Linked DNA regions of Bombyx mori. The main gene of each other region encodes a partner of the protein of the gene in region 6 in a complex. Links are inferred from orthologs where the notes say so. Each region holds a gene or a part of one and is shown on either strand. Other genes may lie near its edges. The genes, in order: nucleoporin Nup188, nuclear pore complex protein Nup98-Nup96, nuclear pore complex protein Nup205, PCI domain-containing protein 2 homolog, nuclear pore complex protein Nup85 and nuclear pore complex protein Nup214.

The links.
Region 1: nuclear pore complex protein Nup214 (region 6) and nucleoporin Nup188 share a complex: the UniProt entries of both Drosophila melanogaster proteins name them as parts of the nuclear pore complex. The link is inferred for Bombyx mori from reciprocal best matches to the Drosophila melanogaster genes Nup214 and Nup188.
Region 2: nuclear pore complex protein Nup214 (region 6) and nuclear pore complex protein Nup98-Nup96 share a complex: the UniProt entries of both Drosophila melanogaster proteins name them as parts of the nuclear pore complex. The link is inferred for Bombyx mori from reciprocal best matches to the Drosophila melanogaster genes Nup214 and Nup98-96.
Region 3: nuclear pore complex protein Nup214 (region 6) and nuclear pore complex protein Nup205 share a complex: the UniProt entries of both Drosophila melanogaster proteins name them as parts of the nuclear pore complex. The link is inferred for Bombyx mori from reciprocal best matches to the Drosophila melanogaster genes Nup214 and Nup205.
Region 4: nuclear pore complex protein Nup214 (region 6) and PCI domain-containing protein 2 homolog share a complex: the UniProt entries of both Drosophila melanogaster proteins name them as parts of the nuclear pore complex. The link is inferred for Bombyx mori from reciprocal best matches to the Drosophila melanogaster genes Nup214 and PCID2.
Region 5: nuclear pore complex protein Nup214 (region 6) and nuclear pore complex protein Nup85 share a complex: the UniProt entries of both Drosophila melanogaster proteins name them as parts of the nuclear pore complex. The link is inferred for Bombyx mori from reciprocal best matches to the Drosophila melanogaster genes Nup214 and Nup75.

The regions. Positions count from the first base shown.
Region 1 is NC_085111.1:4,872,385-4,876,339, reverse strand, and holds the start of nucleoporin Nup188, read left to right. Parts: upstream 1-1,155; 5' UTR 1,156-1,315; coding exon 1,316-1,335; intron 1,336-1,401; coding exon 1,402-1,615; intron 1,616-1,720; coding exon 1,721-2,325; intron 2,326-2,443; coding exon 2,444-2,564; intron 2,565-3,501; coding exon 3,502-3,615; intron 3,616-3,955. Other genes in the region: adk2 (adenylate kinase 2), read right to left, coding at 1-221, 433-534. UniProt on the Drosophila melanogaster protein: Component of the nuclear pore complex (NPC), a complex required for the trafficking across the nuclear envelope. Required for proper protein transport into the nucleus.
Region 2 is NC_085117.1:3,515,590-3,519,705, reverse strand, and holds the start of nuclear pore complex protein Nup98-Nup96, read right to left. Parts: upstream 2,801-4,116; 5' UTR 2,620-2,800; intron 2,586-2,619; exon of another isoform or gene 2,470-2,585; intron 2,339-2,469; exon of another isoform or gene 2,033-2,338; intron 1-2,032. UniProt on the Drosophila melanogaster protein: Part of the nuclear pore complex (NPC). Required for MAD import as part of the Nup107-160 complex and required for nuclear export of Moe probably via its association with Rae1. Plays a role in nuclear mRNA export.
Region 3 is NC_085121.1:1,017,873-1,021,372, reverse strand, and holds part of nuclear pore complex protein Nup205, read right to left. Parts: coding exon 3,499-3,500; intron 3,018-3,498; coding exon 2,832-3,017; intron 2,362-2,831; coding exon 2,143-2,361; intron 1,570-2,142; coding exon 1,434-1,569; intron 1,040-1,433; coding exon 853-1,039; intron 118-852; coding exon 1-117. UniProt on the Drosophila melanogaster protein: Plays a role in the nuclear pore complex (NPC) assembly and maintenance, but with limited role in NPC permeability. Required for specific nuclear import pathways such as Mad import.
Region 4 is NC_085115.1:3,910,084-3,914,049, forward strand, and holds the start of PCI domain-containing protein 2 homolog, read right to left. Parts: upstream 2,801-3,966; 5' UTR 2,415-2,800; coding exon 2,199-2,414; intron 1,838-2,198; coding exon 1,669-1,837; intron 1,074-1,668; coding exon 265-1,073; 3' UTR 1-264. UniProt on the Drosophila melanogaster protein: Required for the export of nuclear mRNAs and involved in mRNA trafficking in the cytoplasm.
Region 5 is NC_085123.1:525,397-528,628, forward strand, and holds part of nuclear pore complex protein Nup85, read right to left. Parts: exon of another isoform or gene 3,058-3,232; intron 2,913-3,057; exon of another isoform or gene 1,458-2,912; intron 1,432-1,457; coding exon 1,322-1,431; intron 520-1,321; coding exon 302-519; intron 23-301; coding exon 1-22. UniProt on the Drosophila melanogaster protein: Component of the nuclear pore complex (NPC) that seems to be required for NPC assembly and maintenance. Required for nuclear import of phosphorylated Mad via importin msk.
Region 6 is NC_085123.1:8,937,261-8,940,760, forward strand, and holds part of nuclear pore complex protein Nup214, read right to left. Parts: intron 988-3,500; coding exon 850-987; intron 546-849; coding exon 357-545; intron 276-356; coding exon 1-275. UniProt on the Drosophila melanogaster protein: Part of the nuclear pore complex. Serves as a docking site in the receptor-mediated import of substrates across the nuclear pore complex including emb, RanGAP and phosphorylated Mad. Protects mbo/Nup88 from proteasomal degradation at the nuclear pore.

The DNA.
Region 1 (3,955 bases), on a different chromosome or scaffold from region 6:
ACAGTTCTAGGGAATCCATCAAGTAAGAAACCATTCTTGCACTCAGGTTGATCCAAGTTCTTGTCAATCATATCAACCACCATTTCATCGGAAACAAGTTTGCCCTCATCCATGACCTTCTTAAGGCGTCGTCCCAGGTCTGATCCCGATGAGACTTCAGCACGCAGCATGTCACCAGTGGATAGGTGACAAACACAATACTTTTCTTTCAGACGAGGAGCCTAATGATAATAAACAAGTTCTCATGTATTTCAAAAATTGAATAACTGGCTTCATTATTGAATTTCTAATTTATATTTCTAATTATTAAATACTAATCATTAATTAAGTATTTATAATTATTAGCCTCAATGATACTTAAGTAATAATCAAATATTCACTATTAGTTATAATATGAGATAAAGAAGGCCAAAGTTCAATTAAACCACATACCTGAGTCCCCTTACCGGATCCAGGAGGGCCAAGTAGCACGGCCCTTATTCCTAAAGGATCCTCATCAGGTTTTAGTTTCGTGGCTGCAGCGGCCGGTGCCATATCATCAAATTCTTAAGCCTTCAATTAATTAGAGCCCTGTACAGACAAATCTGTCAAAGTTAGAATTGCAGAGGTGTTGTAACTACGTTTAGATATGCGTAAATTAGCACGTGATATAGTAATCAAAAGTTCAATTGCAATTTACATGATATCTTAAAAAATTATCAAAACTTTTTAAATGAATTTAATTCCACTCACCGAAATAGCCGACAGGCAAAGGGAAACAAAGTCCATAACGAAAAAATTATAAGGTGAGAAAAGGTCAAAGCCATACATATTTAATTCAAAACAAGTGGATTAAATAAAAATAAAAACACTTAGAATGAGGTTAGAACTCATCTCGAATTTAAATAAAACTGTAATTAAAGCATTGGTGAATTTTGTGAGGAGGCTCCAAAGGACTTTTTGAAGTAGCGGAGAAGTTATTTTTTTTATGAATTTAGTTATTAAAATTTTAATCAATAATAAATTGTTTGTATTTTTTATTTTTATGTTAATCAAATTGATTTAATTCTTTGTTTAACAGACGAAGCTCAATTGTTTTAAAAATATGAATGACTTATGTACTCTTTGCCTCTGAAATCGATAAAAAATATATACTTTGACAACAATAGTTGCACTTGACATTAGCATCATAGCCTCGCATAACCTGAAAATGAAGAGGCGGTAAATATTTATACGAAACTGTTTTCTATAATTTCCACTTTTAAAATTTTATTCTGTACCTAATATATGTCAAACCGGCTGGTCGTACTAGTTCTGTACTGCAATCAAGTTAAGTATGACAACGAGTAGTGTAAAGTAAGTTTCGTTCGTTAATTTTAAGTATTTAGTTTAAGCATTTCTGTATTTAACTACAAATTTCAGTTATTGGAAGAGGCTATGGCGCTGGACAACTTCGGAGAGTCTGACTACAGAAGAATTGACCAAAATTTTTGATACAAAAGAAGTAAGAGATGGACTTAAAATTGGATTGGCTAGTTACAAACAAAACAAGCCTGAGGACTTTACCAAACTTCAGTCACAGTATCCGGATCAAACAAAGCTGCTCACTATAGTGCAGACACTTCAAAATTATATTGTGAGCTGATATTTCAAATATATTACGTTTAATAAAATATTTGGGAATTTTGTTGTGTGTAATTCCTGTAGTTTTCAGTTAATAATACTATGAATTTTCTTGCAGGATGTCGACTGTTTTCAATTATGGGAAATATTAAAAAACTATTTGTGTGATATATCGTATGGTACACCTGAGAGTGCATTAAAGAATGTTGCATTTGTTGACACCCGACCTACATATTTGTCTCCCAAAGTATGGAGCTTCTATTATTCTGAGCGACTCTTTCTACTCAAATTGCTTCAGTACATCATTCAGCTTAAAGATGATGCTCAATATAAATATCAAAAGGAATTCACCAAGATTATTGAAGATATTGGCATACAAAACATTAAAACCTCACTCATATCTCAATTTGAAAAGGTCTTAAGTGCTGCTCCACCATCTAGAAAAATATTGAGTGATTTTTCTAATGATTCTGTGCGACACACTTGGTTAGAGAGTAATTTGAGAGAACAATTAGCAATACTTCAAATACTCTTAATAATTGCGGAAAAGAACACATTTCAAGCTGAAGAATTCAAAAAATTGTTTAATTTGTTCATAAAACACAGTTTTGGGAAGAATTATGGGTTCAGTGAGTTCCTGGGAGAAAGACACAGAGAGCAATGCCTCTGTATTATGTACATGGAAGTTTGCCTGTTTATGATCATTATTGATCATTTGAAAATGTAAGAATTTGGTGTAAACATTGTAATTTATTTTTCATTGTTTTATTCAATTTATTTTTGGCACTATATATAACATATTGGTGTTGTAATTTACTTTGGCTTGGCTGTGACATTTCAGTGATAATTTATCAACATGGATAGAAAATACTAAAGAAGTTGTAGAAACTGAATTGACAAAAATTCAAATGTGTACAGAACACAGTGCCATGCTTTTGACGTGGATGCTGGTAACGTTGCAGGTAATTATCAGTTTTTTAATTAAGGTATTCATCATGCAAAGCTTACTTGAAGGTTTAGGTGCTTTTAGGCACTACAAGCACCGGTCATCGTCCTCGTCGAAACCGTCGCTTGCGACGAAGGGCTCGACGAGCGAATTAACCCACAGACACAGCCCACTGAGTTTCTCGCCGGATCTTCTCAGTGGGTTGCGTTTCCGATCCGGTGGTAGATTCTGCGAAGCACTGCTCTTGCTAGGGTCAGTGTTAGCAACCGGTTTGAGCCCCGTGAGCTCACCTACACACGCTAGGGTAAGCTGAAATAAACTCTCAAGGCTATCAGCATAGGTAGGAAAAAAAACCAGAAGGTTTATAATCAACGTTGCTTAAGAATAATATTGTTGAAAGAAAAACAACCAATATCTGATTTTTATGTAATAATATATATATATATTATTACATAAAAATATATATATATTTATAGGTAATAAACCCGAATGTGCTGTTTTGAGACACTGGGTTCATATACGTACCCATATACCAGGAGCCTCAAAGCAGCGCAGATTTGTGAATTAAATGTTTAAATGTTTTAATTGCTAATTTTAATTTTAATTTTAATTTTACTAACATAGTTCTAAGTATTATTCTACTTACAACATAATAATATGGACTTAAGAGGGTCTGAATTAAATGAATTTTATTTTTTTTATTTTTTATGTCACAGCTGGGCAGAACAAATGACAAATCTTTTTTAAAGGATTTATGTAGTGCAGAACTTTTACTATCTTGTAGAGTTCTCTTGACATTCGTTACATAATAATATGAAATACTTACTAAATATATAGCAAGTCAACGACATTGATTTGTAGAAAATAGCCCTGTAATCTATACCAAAAAGTATATTTACACTACTCAGTAAGGCTCATAAATTTTTTTGTTGAACATTGTGTTATTGTTACAGAGTGATCAACATGTAAAATTATTTGAAAGCCAATATCAACATTTTGGCAGTACTGCAATGAAGATGAAAGTGTTTGAGTTTCTTCAACAGATGCTGAACAGTCCTGTATTCTCAGTAAGTATTCATTCACACATTCATTACCGTAACCTTTAAAAATATTTTGTGTTATTTCATATCTATTCTGAATTTTCAATATAAATTATTATCTAACATAAGATTAAGATAAATGAAGGAACCTTTCAACGTTTTATTTGAACTGCTTACTCATTTTGGTTTGGTAAATGTTACCCTTAACAAACAAGACAAAATATAGGTATATAAAGGAAAGTCCTAAAATCCTGACTTGATTTATAACTGAAAATTTGTATTTTCATATACATCGTCTGTCTATCTATCTGCATGTCTGTCTATCTATCATGATCATTCATTTAGGACAGCCTTTCCCAAAGTAGGC
Region 2 (4,116 bases), on a different chromosome or scaffold from region 6:
GCTATTAATCAGTCTTATATAAAGAAACCTTTTTGTTTTATTTTAAAGTTTGTAAATTTTTTTGTTTATGTTACCCTATTATATTTTTTTTGGTATATAGTTGTTTTTATACAGCTACTTCAAATAGTACCCTTTTCATTTCGTAGTTTGTAAGAGTTTAATTATTTCAAATTTTATGTTTACTTTATAGTTTGTGGGTACATATAATATATTTTTATTAGTAGTACAATATATTATTTAGTCCAAACATTGTTTTATTAACAAAATACTGGTGCTTGCTTCAGCAATACACAATAACAGATGGCTACACTATCATGTAACAAAATGCAGTGTAAAATGTTCTTGAAATTAAAACATGTTTTATGAATAGGACTCTTTATATATAATGACCAAGAGTAGAAGGATCTTATTACACAGTGGTTCAGTGTGTTCAATTATGAAATCAATGTCATGACACAGATATTCCAAGAATGAAAGTAAAAGGTCACAAATGAGTCATGCTATAGTGAAATTTATAAGGAAAAATATTATTTAAATTTATTTCCCATATTAACTTTTTTATAGTCTTTGATTTCAGACAGATATGGGCCCAGGTGTTGTTCACCAACATTGTACTGTTCAAATTGAGACCTTACAACTCATATCTTGAGGTGGGTGGTGGCATCTACATTGCAGATCTCTTATGGGGTTAGGTTACCAGTTTATTCAAATGAGGCTTGTGGAGAGTATTAAGCGGTAGGCAGCAGCTTGGCTGTGCCCCTGGCATTGCTGAAGTCCATGGGCGACGGTAACCACTCACCATCAGGTGGGCCGTATGCTTGTCTGCCTACAAAGGCAATAAAAAAAAATTAACACCAAGTGGACCATGAGCTTGTCCACCCATCAAAGCTATAAAAAAACACTATCGGTAACCAATAAAACCATGGCCAAAATTATTATGCAACTTTTCAATCCTAAAGGCTATGTTTGAAACACATCCTTATTCTAAGACATGTCCTGTGTGCTTGAGAAATAGTGCACAGTATGCGGCAAAAACTATGACAGTTCCGGGTATTAGGAATGAGAACTGCTCCAGCTACAGCTGGTGTGGTTCTCAAACTATAGATAAATTTCAAATAGTTCATTAGAACGACAACCCCTTTAATAATTTTTTTAAAAGTATTGAAGTGTGAGCGTTCTCTTGGGTGTCCTGGCTTGGTTAAGTGGCTAGCAGAGCACATAATGCCACCACCCACCTAAAAACGTGAGATCCATGTCCCAGTTGTATAGTAATAAAAAAATTTAATGAAATAATTAGATTAAATTGGATCATAATTCCAAGATCTTATCTATTTGAATATGTTGGCCAAATCAACAATTTTAATCACCACTAAGCCTAATGTTATTTGGTTTCTTTGGAATTCCTTTTTATGGAGTTACTGCAGCCCTTAGACATCAACAACATAAATACCGCCAGCCACCTCGAGAGATGAGTTCTAAGTTAGTTGTAGCTTTTCCCTGCTTAAAGCCGTAATATATTGCTGCTTCATAGCAAAAACAGGCATGACAGTGGTATCTACCCATACAGGCTCATAGGACTCTGTAATGCCAGTGTGCAACGTGTTTAGTTTATAATACTGTTAGTAAGACCATAGCTTTGTTGGTAAAATAGTCAGTGAGAAGACAATTTTTTCCTCTGAATTCATACAGTTGGGAGTTATGATGTTTCTGATAGCCTAGAATAAAGTCATTTAGGAATAATTCAGTCATTCCACTTCAAAAGTTCATGTTTCGTGATGACTGCCATAATTGTCGGTTTATATGTGTTTGAAAATTAATAGAATGTCTGTCTACAAAGGCAATGTTACTGTTTTCAAAGACAACTGCTAGTTTCTCTCTAGAGACAATAAAAATATCACTAAGTTTTACAAAAAAAAAATACTTTTAAATTTTACAAAACTTAACCTTAATTAGATTTTAGTTTATATTTTATAAGATTAGTCGTTTTTAAAATCAAAAATAAAAATATTGAAAAAAGTATACAAATACCTACACTATTATCAGAATTTCTAACAATAGTATTTTTGAATTTTACTATTAAATTCTTTCAATTTATTCACTTTTATTGCAAAACGTATTTTAAATATAACTCTGTGTCTATTTGAATTCTATTAATTTTAAATTTTAGACGCAGTACTTAACCTAACCACAAGACGTTTAGAGAATTTCCGTTGGTATTGCACTTTATAGCGATAACTCGCAACCGTAAAGCATTGTTGCTGTATGCTTATTTATATTAGCTTTTTATTGCACAACGAATTTCACAATTTTATTAGAAAATTTTGCAACCAAAACGTGTGACGTCAATTTTGAGGTAAAACCAAACGAAATTAAGAGTGTCGCAATACTCGTTTGATTTATGTTTTTGAGGATGGTATAATAAGCAAGAAATTAAAAATAACGAAGATGTTTCGAAGATATTTCAATTACCTAATTTACAGTTTTCACTAATACTTCGTAACAAGTATAAACACAAATTTCGTGGTTATTATCTCAACTATTGTTATTTTATCAATTCAAATTAGGATCTTACAAATCGGTCGGGTAATCGACATAACGTTGGAAACTCAAGAATCTTACCGTGTTCGTATCGAAAGATTGTTGTGCGGCTTTAAATGCACGAAAAACCGTTCTCCTTTTCTTGTTCACTTTAATAGTACTTAATTACATATAATACTTGTTATTAAGAAGAAAACGCAGAATACATCGGCTTCAGTAGGTAAACAAAACAATGATCTGACCATCGACAATTTCAACTTAGATTGTTGAATCCATTTAAAAATTTAATTTTTAAGAAAAAAAAAACAAATCATGGACAAATAAATTTTAATAAGTTTTTAAAATATTACTACATAATCCAAGATCGCTAAAATTCGATTAGGGCAATGGCCAGACCGAGATCCCAAGTCACTAACATAGCTCATAAAATTAAAAAGTGGAATTAACAAGGCTGTTTTCTTATGCCAAGGAACTAAGAATTGATAAATCAGACTAGTTCATAAGTAACAACAATGCCAACTCCTTTGTTATGTAACTTAGATTAATATAAAACGTGTCTTCCAGACTTCCTTGGAACTTGAAAAGGGCTATACTTAGGTTTGCATGAAATTCGATAATAACGTCACACTCGTAGTTTAATTTATTAAAATCTGTTTGGAAGTCAAAATCTTCTTCACAATGATGTCGAAAAGTCACTTCAAAATATGGTTTTATTTAATTAAACCACAGAAGACTTTTTTTATTTTTTTTTCCTTTATAATTCTCTCTGCCTCTTCCTCTAATTTTACTGGTGGTGGATTATTACACTGTCTATTTCCGTCATGATCCAGCAAGTACTGGCTTAACCCGAGCTAACATTGACCCAGAACAAAAACTGTGCTTCGCTGAATCTAATACCGGATCGGAATCGCAACCCACAAAAAAAATCGATGAGAAAGACATTAGACTGTGTCTATGGGTTAATTGACGAGTTCGATGAGAGCGGTGATCAGTGCTTAGACAGTCTGAAAGCACCGAGAGTGAATCGGGAGTGTCCCGATGTGCCCCGTCGTCTGTGACGATTATGTAGTTAAAGACAGCCACAATAAAAAGGTTATCGCGTCGCACCGCTCTTTCGAAGAAGCGTTGTGACGGTACCTTCACGTGTTGGTTTTAATTGGATGTCGTTAATTCCTTACATACTAATGTGCTTCGAAGGCTATCTTGTAGAAACGGGATTGGCTGACCTGGAGTTTATGTGAGTGTGGAGCGCGTGAGCGAACACTACACTTGAATATGTCATGACGGAACGTATCCAAGTTTTCTAGAGTGTGTCCATAAACATGCGTTCCGGTCTTTAAAGGTTTTTTCTTATGAATGATGGATTACTGGTGGCTCAGAGGCCTTTCCAGTTTTACCAGGACAGGTGGGTGAGCACGGGCTCAGCCAGGAGGGTTGGGATTAGCTAACAGCTGCCCAAACGCCTCCAAACGAGACCTAACAACTCAAGAGCAACTGCTTCGTGAATGAATCTACTACCGGATCGGAATCACGACTCGCTGAGAAGATCCGGCGAGAAACTTAGCGGGCCGATGCATG
Region 3 (3,500 bases), on a different chromosome or scaffold from region 6:
GGCAGCACGTGGTGCAGCAGCGAGAGGACGCCCTCCTTGGCGCGGCGCAGCGCGGCGTCCTCCCCGCCGCCCCCGCTCCTCCACTCCTCCGCTTCCAAGCACTCCACGAACCCGTGTCTGGTGCAACAGATACTGTGACGTTAGCGAGGCGGACCTGACGCAGTCGACTGGCGCGCACATACACCAGTGGAAAACAGAAATTCAATTATAAATTTGAAAATATTTAAAAAATATTAATTTTGTTAAAAAAAAATACAAAATAAAGAATCTAACATGAGGTGTCGGTGATTCTGGTCGAATTTTGATCATACCAGTAATTACAATATCCAAGACATATCTCTTACTTCTTTTCCGCTGGATGTGTTGTTGCCCATATGAATAGGTACCTAAATTCCGCCTGCCTATATCGCGAAACTATGAGTTGTCCCAGTTCGAAGAGTGGTGAATGAGACCGTGTATCTATCTCAAAACGTTACTTATTGGAGATAGGACCTCTTATGAGTCCGCGCGGGTAGGTCACACCATTCTGCCTACTTCTGCCGTGAAGCAGTAATGCGTTTCGGTTTGAAGGGCGGGGCAACTGTTGTAACTATACTGAGACCTTAGAACTTGTATCTCAAGGTGGCTGGCGCATTTACGTAGTAATTGTCTATGGACTCCAGTGACCACTTAACTCTAGATGGGCTGTGAGCTCGTTCACCCATCTAAGCAAATAAAATAATAAAAATTAAAGAACGTGTTCATTGACAGTCGATCCATACTTATGGGAAGCGTTATATAGCTACCAGATATCTTTACTCGGTTCAAAAATGGAACATGCGTTATTTCTGACAGTGAGGGGGGGGGGCGCACCGGATCTGCGCGGCGAGTGCGGGCGTGCGCGTGGCGGCGGCGAGCACGTGTCGCGCGGCGGGCGGCTGCAGCGCGGCGCGGCACAGCAGCTGCACGGCGCGGCTGGCGGGCAGCGGCGCGGCGCCGGCCAGCCCCGCCACGCGGCAGCACGCCAGCAGTCGGCAGCCGCTCTCCGCGCTCTCAGACTCTGTACGCACCGACCACATGTTGTGTCACTTTACAAACTCCTTTATTATTTCGACATTGTAATTGCCACAGTGCTCAACTGTGATGCATTTATAAATAAAACTGTTAGAAATTCAATACACCGTCATCTATTAGATACTTAGCCAACCCGGAAAATAAATAACTCATACCGACATTTGTTTTGAAACTTATAGAACTCACAAATATCACTTTGTAGATTTTAAAGAAATCATTTGCAACAAAGAGATATTGTGATTATAAATTGATATGAAAACTACCCTATCCATCAAGTTGGACCTAACAAGCCACAGTGTCCAAAGTACAAAAATTTATCCCGGACAAACAACATGATACAATTTTTTATATATTTGAAGATACCAAAAAAAAACACACACCGAGTATAAGTTTAGAAAGCCCGATGATAATGACAGATTTCCCCGCCTCCAGCGCCGCCGCGCCCAGCTCCCGCTCGAGGGCGAGTGCGCGCTCCAGCATCTCTAGGACGCTAATGAGGCACTGCTCCACGTACTCCTGGAAGTTATTTGATCTCACTGTAGTCATACCGACAATACCTCCAATAATATTTACATAGATGTTTCTCAAATATTATCTAGTCGTGGCGCCGTTAGGGAGCGCGCACCGCACCGCCAAGAACCTGCAATTCCCCAGAACTGGTGGTAGTACCTCTTGAGAGTCCGCGCGGGTAGGTACCACCACCCTGCTTATTTCTGCCGTGAAGCAGTTATGCGTTTCGGTTTCAAGGGTGGGGCAGCCGTTGTAACTATACCATTTACGTTGTAGATCTATGGGCTCGAGCAACCACATAACACCAGGTGGGCTGTGAGCTCGTCCACCCATCTAAGCAATAAAAAAAAAACATTGGCCGCTTCATGACGCAAGCTAAGAAAATTATTTTATAAAACACCTATTGAAATAAGACAAAAGGCACTAAATAATGTGCTTTACCTAAAAAGTTGGCTACATCAATGATTACTTCAGATTATTTTTATTCTAATAAAGTATAATTTTTATAGACGACTCTTGTTCCTCTGTTAGCCGCAACAGGATGCCCGCACGGTAGCTACGCAATACGAAAGCTCTCACATTCGCAGATCCAGGCTGCTTCTCGAGCAGTTCGTAGGTTTGGTCGAGCGAGGAGAGCAGGAGCCGCAGCAGCTCGGACTTGGTGTGCAGCTGCAGCAGGATCCTGAAGCCGGGCGGCGCCGGACACTCCGCGTCTCCGCCCGCGGAGGGGAAGTCCGCGGGGGAGGGGGTGTACTGCTCCAGCCACGTGCCGAACAGCCGGAAGCACTGCGATAGGATCTGGAACGTATTTCAACAGTAGTGACGCACTTAGGAACTTGAAGTCAATTTTTTGAAGTGAAATTTCTTTAGAATCGTTGTGATTTAAAACTCGATGAAACGAAAAAATAAGTCCATAGAGACACAAACACATAAATGTATAGGATTCAGCCGGCGAGAGAACGAGATAGAACACATTAGACGTTCTCGGTCTCCTCTTTGTGCGACTCTTCGTAGCATCCCCACTATCGTCTACTAAACATTATCCATATGTATGTTCCTGTGTAGTGGGATAGTCAGTATATCTATATCTATATCTTATTTATAAGTTTCACTTCTACCGTGTGTGACTTGCACACACACACACTTTTTTTTGAATAAACATACGTATCGCCAGCCGTATTTTAAGTTCCGGACTGGCGCCCAGCGATCAGCGAGACTTGTCGACAGTAAATTGTTGTTGTCAGTCGGCAGTAGTGCGAGGCTCGTACCTGCCACTTCTCGTGCGGGCGGGCGTAGGGGCGGTGCGGCGCCGGCAGCGCGAGGCGCAGCAGCGCGTGCTGCACGTAGGGCTCCACGCCGGCCGCCAGCGTGCGGGGCGGAGGCGCCGCGCTCAGCGACTGCAGCAGCGACAGGAAGGCGCGCGACAGCGGGTACTCCTCGATGCGGCACTCCACCTGACGACACCGACATGTCTCAACCTGCTCGTGCGGTTATATCTAACGAATGTTCCTCCGACGATCATTGACTCAAGTTTTTCAAATTTTATCTTTTGGTAAACGATTTCCAAAATATAAGTAAAGCTGTCCAATCTATACTAATAATATATAGAGGAAAAATTTGTTTGCTTGTTTGTATTGAATAGGCTCCGAAACTACTGAACCGATTTGAAAAAATCTTTCACTGTTTGGAAGCTACACTATCCCCGAGTGACATAGGCTATATTCTTTTTTTTTTTTAAATAGGGATCGTTGCTAAAACTCCAATAATGTAACCCAAGGTTATTCAAAACTATCTTTATAATTTTCTTTTTTTAGTAAGTAGACGCAAATAAAAGGGTTGATGTGTGTGTATTATGATGGTTAATTTGGATTTTTTTATTAAAGACCCGAGCGAAGCTGGAGCGGGCCGCCAGTATGAGATAAAGGAAAACCTTGCCT
Region 4 (3,966 bases), on a different chromosome or scaffold from region 6:
TTCTATTTTATTTAATGACAACCCTAAACACATTAGTGCTACTAAAATAAAAAAACTGGACTACTGAACTGTTTTGTGTATTTTTATGGATATTATATGTAATCAAAAAGAAAGTATTTAAATAGTGAAATTGCGTCAGATATACAATTGCTCATCATCACATTTCACTTAATCAGCCTTTATGCTAATGGAATCTTAATTTTTATTAAAACAATCAAAAAATTAAGTGTGTATTCCCCTAGGTATTATTTAAATGGTATAAATTTAATACAGACTAGATAATGGAGGAAAAGCATTTTGTTTACTGACAACCACTTTCTTGTGTTGGTATGAGATGTATCCTTTGATTTTTCCATCATATATGAGATTTGCAACAATACATTGAGTTTCATCTGAATCAACATCTTCCTGTCCCATGATTTGTAATGCTGCCTCGAAGCTGGCTATGTCTATCTGATGTGAATTCTCCGCTAAATATACTTTCCTAAACAAATTTCTGTATGCTGTAATCTTTAATTTTTCTACAATCAAATAAATACCAGCCGTTATGAAGAACTTTTCATGTTCCTCCATAACCATATCGATACCACGCAAATCTCCATTTTTCACAGCTGATATTAGATCCCAGAATTGTAGCAAATCATATTTCTCTAGTAAATATTTTGCGGGCATGAAACCCAACAGCATTTTCACAGGAACTAAATAAGTTAGAATGAGCCTTTTATTTCGTATGCTTCTTCTGTGACAATTTTCAAAAGCAAACGATAAGTATTCATCAGCTAGACGATAGTCTGAGTCAAACATGGCTTTACGACCCACAAAATATCTGTATGTAATTTGTTGGGCCAGTGGGAATTGATCTTTGAATGGTGAAGAATCAATGGCTCTAATCAATGGTTTGCAAAGGTGGAGCTTGTTTATCCTGAAATATACTTTAAGAAGTTGGTTTACAAGACACAACATGCCTATCTTTTTGGTATCCACATCTGAAGCTCTGTTGTCAGCAGCACAGACTCTGAAGCAAGCTAATAAGCTCTCTGCTGCTTTTTCCATAATTTTACTGCCATTTTGAGCTGAAATATTGACAAATGAAATTAATTGTACAGAATACAGATTATTTAACACAATATTGACTAAGACAACAACTCATGCAAGTATTTGAGATAATTTCGTTTTTTCGACATTGTACCACCATAACAGAGTTGAATCCTACCACCTGTGAATATACTGAGCACTTAGGGTTAGTCATTCTTCAAACAAGACTAAGGAGACAAATCTTGAGTAGAAGGGAACCTGCACTTAAACAGCCACCAGATGATGAGTGGTTACTAGAGTCTGTAGACGTTACTTTGTGAAGTCTGCCTTAAGTGATGAAGTTTAAGGCTGAATTGTATAGTGTAATTGCTGCACTATTCTTCAAGCTAGAATACATGATTGCTTTAGTACAGAAACAAGCAGTTTGGTAATACATACCTAGTTGTGCAAACTTATAACACAACCGACCATCATAAATACTATAAGATCTCATTTCTATGACACATTATTTTCCTTGGCATTTGAAGATTTCAATATGAGTACTCCAGGCATCTTATTCTTAATGCCCTAATCACTTGATACTATTACCATCTTATCTTAGCTCTTGAATGATGTATGCAAATTCATACTTACGGCTAGATGCCTCTGCTTTCTGTGCAACAAGTCTAAGATCTAAACATGCAGCATACATAACCGGAAGGCACCAGTTCTCTTCTTTCTGTCCCTGTAATAGCTTTACGACAGAGGCCACACATATACTCTGATGATCGTATGCCTCAATGTAATCACTTGCATATAATGCCTGGAATGCAAAGCATTTTTTTTTATTGCTTAGATCGGTGGATGAGCTTACAGCCCACCTGGTGTTAAGTGGTTACTGGAGCCCATAGATATCTACAACGTAAATGCGCCACCCATATTGAAATATAAGTTCTAAGGTCTCAGTCTCTGACCGAAATGCATTACTGCTTCTGACTACTACTGACTCAAGAGGTCTTGCCACCAGTAAAAGTATTTGACGAGAAGCTAATAAAACGATATATTTAAAATACACTTAACAGGTAATGTTCGCTGTAGTAACGGCCAGATTAATAATGGTACATTTACTATTTTTTAATCTATATTTATCAATTTAAAACCAGAATTAAATTCATATATCTCACCTTAAGACATGATAAGTGTGCAATTACAAGTTCATCTAATGGAGCAACACAATTTCCTGTGACAAGGGTTGCAATATCGCTAGATAATAGATTCCTATTGTAGACATGTTCATCTCTTAGAGACAACAGTCTAGACAATATGTTACCTTGTCCCGTTCTGTACATACGTTCCACACATTGTATGTATTGATTAAGAGTGCCAGTTATCATCGACATTGTGGTTAGGTATTACTGGATTTTTAACTTTGAATGACTAATTTTAATATACAAAATTACAAGAATGTAGTTTTTCCTATAATTTCGTCAATCGACATTTCATGATTGATATTTATCAAAGAATCAGAGTTTATTAGCGCAAAATCGGTCTCATGAAAACATTGAAATTTTGTTTTCTTTATATGTCATTTCCACTTTCCACAGCTCAACTGGAGAAAGGATAAGTTTTTCATTCCTTGGATAGGCACACGGAAAGAAGTCTATACCGCTAAAGCATTTGGAAGGCCAAGACTATACTTATTATGTGAAATGGAATGTAATTAAGTGAAATCAAATGTTTATTTATTTTTTTAGATGAAGTGAATTATAACAGCGGCAACCATACATTTTTTTTTGTTTGAGACACAAATTGCAGGCATCATACTGTACTAACGATGGGTTAATACTGATATTTGTCAATATACAAATATATTCGTTATGTAATATTATAATACCTTAACTAATACGTGAATATCCTGATATCTTAATATACTTTGATAAAACGGGTAAACGAGTTAAACCTAATACGGTATTCGTGAAATAAGTTAATAATCATAGATAATACACATTAGTTATTAATAATATAAATAGTATATTGTATCTAGGAATTTGACTTCAAGGAATCAAGAAATGAAGGTTCAAACATTAAAAAGTAATGCATTTAAAAATTCCCAAGCTGTATTACGAATATCTTAATGAATACTAATATATCGGTCTCACCCTTATACTGTACTGTGTTCCATTTAAAAAAGTAACCAGTGCAGCTATTAAAGGAATGGCTTCGCAGTATACTAATTTTACATTATATTTTACAGTGCTCCCAGTGTACATCGGAACATAGCCTTAAGCATTAACACAGGTGCGAAAAAGCTAGTGAACCACTGTTTTATACGTTTAAGCATAAAGTAAATGAACAAAATGTAACAAGTCACATTAATCCTTTTCTCACGATCCCGCCTAAAGGTCTTGAGCTTTTTGTGTCTGTTACACGAGAGTTTGTTATTTCTACCAGATAGCCAAAGGGAATCTATTTTTATATTAAATTGATGTACCGTATTTGCAGCTAAAAAATAGATAATATGTAATGCCTACACCTATCTGACGCAAACGATACATATTAAAACGAACATCAATCTGTGCACTTAATACACGAGAAGGCTTGGGACTTTTTGGCGGGAATGCGAAGAGTGAAGTTGTGAGATTTGTTTTATTAAATTTTTGTCTATTAAGTGTTTCTTCAGGTTTAAATGTGTAATAACGGTGGTTTATTAACTATTTAGTATCTGTGAAAGTGCTCGTTCGTCCCGTTTCATCTCGTCTCGTCTCGTCTCACTTCGTTTTCATTTTCATTTTCATTTTATGACATTTCGTGCATTGTTTTATATTAATCAGCTTCCTTCATTTCATACCACTTTTCATAAAAATAAAAATAAGACTTGACTTAAAGGTCCTACTTACCAGGTCATAAAATCCCTAAAAATTAAAAAAGAAGACTTTGTTGTTCTTTATTTAC
Region 5 (3,232 bases), about 8.4 Mb from region 6:
AACACGCGCCACACGCCCTCGCCTGCAACCAACCACCACACAATTCATCAACAAACTCATGCTGCATATTGGAAACGGTCTCGTAGGAGTTACTAGTTAATTTAACTTATTAATGGTTATCAGAGTTCAAATTAACTATGAAGCAGCTTTCCCATTTTTTTTATTTTCATAATACTACTCCTTCCTGGTTTTTATCAAATAATTTCTTAAGAATTCCATTTGGAAATCATATATTATATACCATAGGCACGAAAGACTGCCACATTCAAATTAAATTCATAGTAATACTTCATGTACTTACCAACTTCCAAAAGTCCATATTTATTAGCTTCAGCAACAACCCTCATAGCTTTGGCATGAGTATTGATCGGAATCCTCTCTAGCAACAAATGAGCTCGGCATAGACCTTCAGGGGGACATGAAGCAAGGTAGGATAGTCCGACGGACCAGAGTGACTTGTGCTCCATTATCAAGGTTCCATATTCAAGAATTAAACTGTCTCGGAGACGTTGAGTTACACTATAAAAATAATATTATTACTCAAATTAAGCATGAATGTTCTTCTTCTGGAGAAAAAAATGAGATTGCAGTAAAAAAATGTGACACTTATTTTCATTTATAAGTGAAGATAGCTAGGCTCACAGGCCCTGCTTGTGGTAACTTTTACCTATAGGATGAACAATGATACACAATGAATGCAATACTGCCACATATTTCAAGATTGATTAATACTTTTTAACTAAAAGTTGACACAATCAAATATTAAAAAATGATTAATTATGATTGGATGATTATTCATGATTAGTTTTAAAGATGGTTTGAACACAATCGAAACCTCAACATCAATGAGGTTAAATAGTTTTTTTTATATTGATATTTATTTATTGCTAAGATTGGTGGACGAGCCTACAGCCCACCTGGCGTTAAGTGGTCACCGGAGTCCAGAGACCTCAACAACGTAAATGCGGCCACCCGCCTTAAGATATTAATTCTAAATCAGTTTCTCAGTATGCCCCATTCTTAAAACCGAAACGTATTACTGTTTCACAGCAAAAACGGGAAAAGCAGTGGCACCTACCCATGCTAACTTACAAGGTGCCCTGCCACCAGTAACTATGCAATAAACAATGTTATTCCTTCACTGTTGAAGTCAATCGTGAACATTTGTTGAGTACAGACAAATTGATAACAGCCTGCAAGATTCAATAACTGGCACCATAGTATGGCTCGATGCAAACACAACGCATGTCATCTCTCGCAGGCCACAAGGACTTCAAAAAGTAAGAGACAATAAAACAGAAAATTCTCAAATCCTACTCACTTATTTTGGTGTTTATCCAATACTTTTAATTTTCCACAATGATACAATATGTCTGATAGATGTGTTGCAAACCATCCATTATCTGTTATATGCTGGATTTCATGAATTACCTGGAAATGTCAATTGGGTAAATCCAATTTTTAGTTAACTCAATTGTATTTTTTAATCTTGAGATTTAAAATTTGTTCTACCTTTGTATTGCCAAATTGAGGGCAATTATTCACTTATTTGTGCTGTAAATAGATGTATTAAGCTAACTGCTCAGGTTTGTCTATTAATATTAATTACACCATTTAAAATTTATTTATTTATTTTATTTATTTATTTATGTACACACAGAAAACAAGACACAGTACAGAGTAATAGGAAAATTATGTACAAAGGCACTGCTTATTTCTTTGAGAAATCTCTTCCAGCAGACCTGCGAGAGGATAATGAGAATAATAATAAAAAGTGATAAGTGTGTGTAGAACACATAACTAAAATAACAAATACAACATGAGAATTATAGCACATACACATAGCAAATATTAAAAGTAACACAGTAACACTCGTATATGCGAAGAGTATAGAACCATGATCATTCGGTTGATGATAGATAAAATTGTTTGACCTTGTATTTAAAAACGGAAACAGACTTGCAAACTCGGATGTCAGCCGGCAACGAATTCCACAGTCTGACCGCGTGCACAGTAAAGGAGTGAGAATAGAAATTGGTTTTGTGGGAAGGGAATAACAAAACAGAACGTTGGTTGGACCTGCAGGGAGCATCAGGAGAACGAATGAAAGAGAATCGCTCACGTAAATATAAGGGAGAAGTGGGCTTATGTAGGATATTGAATAGGAGACATAATATTCGAGTATTCCTACGAAGGCGTATAGGGAGCCATTTAAGTTCTTTGCGAAAATGAGAAACATGATCGAATTTTCTGAGATTGTATATAAAACGGATACATAGATTTTGCATCCTCTCAAGCTTGTTTGAGAGCTCCTCAGTGGCATCCAAGTAGCAGGCATCGGCGTAATCAATTATGGGTAGAATGAGAGCTTGGACGAGAGATATTTTTGTATGCTGAGGTAAGAAGCCCTGCAGACATCTCAACGAGTGCAAGGCAAAGTGCACCTTCCTACTAATCTCAGCAACGTGAGAACTCCACGAAAGATGTCGATCTACAATAACACCCAGGTTTTTAACTGAATCGGTTAGAGTTATTTGAGTCCCATCCAAATAAATTGGGGGGAGTATAGGATCGCTGAGTCTACTGCGCAATTGTTTACCCCCTATAATGATAGCCTGTGATTTTCCCGGATTAATGTGCAGACCGTAGGCTTTTGCCCATTCACTGATAGACTTCAGATCACTGTTCATCGCAGCAATAGCCGATTCAACTTCAGGCTCCGAGAAGTGGCGATATAGCTGGAGATCGTCTGCGTAGAGGTGGAATTTAGAAGATATAAGCCTAGTGACAGAGTTTATAAACACAGAAAACAGAAGAGGAGAAAGAACACCACCTTGGGGAACGCCCGCACTGACGTTCTGCCAATCCGAGAAAATCTCGTCAAGACGGACACATTGCGAGCGCCCCCGAAGGTAACTATCAAACCAGTTAATAGCAGATGAGGAGATATTGTTTGATTTGAGTATTTCGAGCAGAACATCGAAGTCAACAGAGTTAAAAGCGCTGCTGAAATCTAACAACACTAATAAAGTTAGTTGTTTGTTTTCCATGGCCCAGCGAATGTCATCGGTCACTTTTAGAAGAGCTGTAACCGTGCTGTGGCCCTTGCGAAAACCAGATTGGAAGGAGCTAAGAAGATTGTGGGAGAGGAGAAAAGACGACAGCTGACGGTGGACAATGTGCTCAAGGACTTTGGAAAGAAAAGGAAGTATAGATATAGGCCGGAACTGAG
Region 6 (3,500 bases):
GTCCGGTACATTAGAGATGGTGGGTGCAAATGGGGTAGTTGGTTTCATACCAAACAGGTTGGTAATAGGTTTATTAACCTTCTTGCTGTCGGCTGGTTTTGCTGCACCTTCAGGTTCGCCGGTTTCACTGGATTTCACAGAAGCGACAGTCACAGGTTTGGGTTCAAAAACCACAGGCTGTGTTTGAGCACTCGAAGACAAGCTATTTTGACTAAGTCCAAGATTCGCTGTCGACTTATTGGCCGGCACTAACGATTCCGCAGTAGCTGGTTGATCTAAATTTTACAACAAAAGCATCAGTTGGGTATAATTACAAAAAAATATGTACGAAGTCTTATCTTTTGTTTTAACCTTACTTGAGAACGGAGAAATAGGTGAGCATATTTTCTGTCCCATGAATTGCTTCAAGTCATTGTTAGGCGTTTGATTTGAAGACATATTAGGTACAGGCGATGTGTATGAGAATGGGGGTGGTGCATAGCAAACTCCAGTAAAATTAAAAGATTCAACAGGAATTCTAACTCGGGGTTCTTCGGGCTTCGGTTCTGGAATTGTTATTATTATTTTATTAATACATTATTTACATAATCTGTTGAAAAATTTTTGCAAATTTTCAGGCTTAAACAACTAAATTGTGGACTAAAAATAGAAAATAAGTACACGGGCACTGATTATTTTTCTAAGTAATCTCCTCATAACACACAGTAATTGCAATCCTTGTTTACATTGATTAGGCTAAGCATTACTGACATTGAGTTGGGAAGGCGATGAATGACCAGTATGATTAAAGATATTTAGTACACACATAAGTATGAAATATTCAACAAACATGCAATCATACAACCATACCGGTAAACAATGTTCTAGTGACGTTTTGAAGTCCCGGTACTGAGGGTTTGCTCTGAATGGGCGAGAACGGCGCTACTGTCTCGGTAAATTGTTTTGTTTCCATTTTAGGTTCAGCTTTAATAACATCTTTAAGGGGCACTGAAAATAAGACAAGGAAATTAGATTTCTGTATTATATGAGCATTTCTCAAAATTATTGCACAATAGACTTTAGCCTCTGTCCCATTTTTTTAATATTTTGTTCCGGCTAATATATTAGTTCATTACTACTTTTTATAAATTGTGTAAGCAGTATAACTACTCTACTTATTAGAAAGGAAAAAAACAGATTTAAATACAATGAGATTTTTTCATTAAAAATATATATCATAAATCAGCTTCAACCAGTTGTATGAAAAGTGCAGTGTCCCAATCTCAATATCTTACCAAACCATCGATCTTTAGTTGAATGGACATGGGCATTGTATAAATAAAAAATATTATTTATTTATAGCCATAAGTCACAATTCATCCTAAAACATCCTTTTTAGCATTACTTTATAATTAAATTTCTAATTAATGATTTTAACTTGTCCCGTAAAAAGTTCCACCTAGAAATTCCAGTTTTTGTTACCATAATTCTGAAGAAATATGATAATCGATTAATGCAGTTATATTTTAGAATAATGGTAGCATTAGCCGGCTTGGCATCCGTCTTGTTTTAATTTCGACTAGTTCTTTCTGGTGCCGGTACGAACGGTAAAAGTCAATATTTAAGCTAGCGGTCAAAAAAAAAATTCCACCTTTGTTACTCATAAAACATAGATAAGTGCAGATTTTATTGTTATTTCACTTAACCTACTATTAAAGCTCCCATTCTTGATTTCGTTAATCAAATCGAAATAAGAGTAATCGTGTGAGTTACATGTGTTTACAAATAAAATGACATGTTGTTCTTGATTTGTTACTTCTTTTTTTGTTACTTTTGTGTGGTAACGTATAAATGGAAAAGAGAGTAACAAAATAGGAAATCATTAGGCTGAGTATATATAATATATTATTATTATTATTTAACTTTCTGTTTAAAATAATTTTATAATAATTATTGCAATTACAACGGCGTCAATTTCTTTGTTTTTTTTGTTGTACTATTACAGATTTGTACTATGAATTTATTTTATATTATTTATTTATATAAATCAGTAAGTGAGATGTCAGAAGACGAAAAAAATAAACAAAGACAAAAGTGGCGTGCCTGTGTTTACACCTTGGCCTATCATGGCCTTTTTCTTCGACACATTTTATCAAGGCACCGATATGTTATTCCAGATTCGTCTAATAATCCGCTGCATTTTGTATCAAGTATGAACGCTGTAGAAATAAAAATATTATTACGTTGTCCATTTTTTTGGTGCCAAAGATGTGATTATGATTTATACGATCACTATCCAGCCGATGAATGTGATTATTGCTATTAAAGGTTTTTACTGAATTAGAAACCGTTAGGCCTCCTTTTCATTATGATTAAAAAAGAACTGAAACGATATTTTTGTTACCTACTCGTAAATGTTCCTAAATATTTGAATAGGGTATTTTTTAAACGAAAAATGTTTAAATGTCCTTTGACAGCAGTTCATACTATAATCTACATATATAAATATAATTATAATTATTTTTAACACGGGTCAAAGTTTATTATAATTTGAACTACTTCGAAAACTAGCCTTATAAAATCCTAGTTTGTTACCAATATTCCATTTTTGTTACTGTCCCATAAAAGCGGACACGTATTTCTTTTCAAATTTTTTATTTATTATCTTAAAACCTGCAATTTTTTTTAAAAAAGCAAAAGAAGTGTATTGTTATTTCATTTGTGAACGTATTTAAAAATAAAACAACATCAAAACTTCTTTACTGTGATTTTAAAACAAAGTTGTGGGCAAATGGTAACGTAAAGGATATATTACAACTTATATAAGTAACATTTTGCTGTAAATGTTAACAGTTTTTTATAGACACGTAAAATGATGGTTATGTCACCCTATTGAAATGCATAAAAGTTGACGAAATTGATTTGGTGTTTTAATTAACGTAATTGATAGACGGTAACAAAATAAGAATATTTCTCCACCTTGGTATATTTCTACACATTTCTCTACTTTATTACATATTAAACCTCAGAACAAACCTCATATTCAAAATCTTTAGACACCTATCTACAAATGAAAACAAAAAAAATGCTCTAGTTTAACATTTTTATTTTAGTACATTATTTTATTGGTGGTGCATTTATTTTGAGAAATGCTCATATATATTGTAAGGAGCCTCCGAAACATCGCCATCGAATACTCGGCAAGCCTATATAAGGAGGGTACCTAGATAATTCCGCACATTTTGCTCGTTACACTCGCAGTGCACGGACGTTTGGCGATAATCAGTGTTAGATGTACCCCCACTAGCTAAACGCACTATACCGTTACCGAGTAAGCCTATAAAAGCACCGTATTTGGCGCGGCTCGGCGTGCTCACGTGCGACTGCTCGGGTCGTATCTGGAGGGCAGAATCTTCTTTGTCGCGGTCGAGGGCGCACGGTCTTCCGTGCGTCCCATTACGGCCGGGGTTCCCCAGGGTAGTGTCCTATCACCTATTCTATACGCCCTCTACACTAACGAC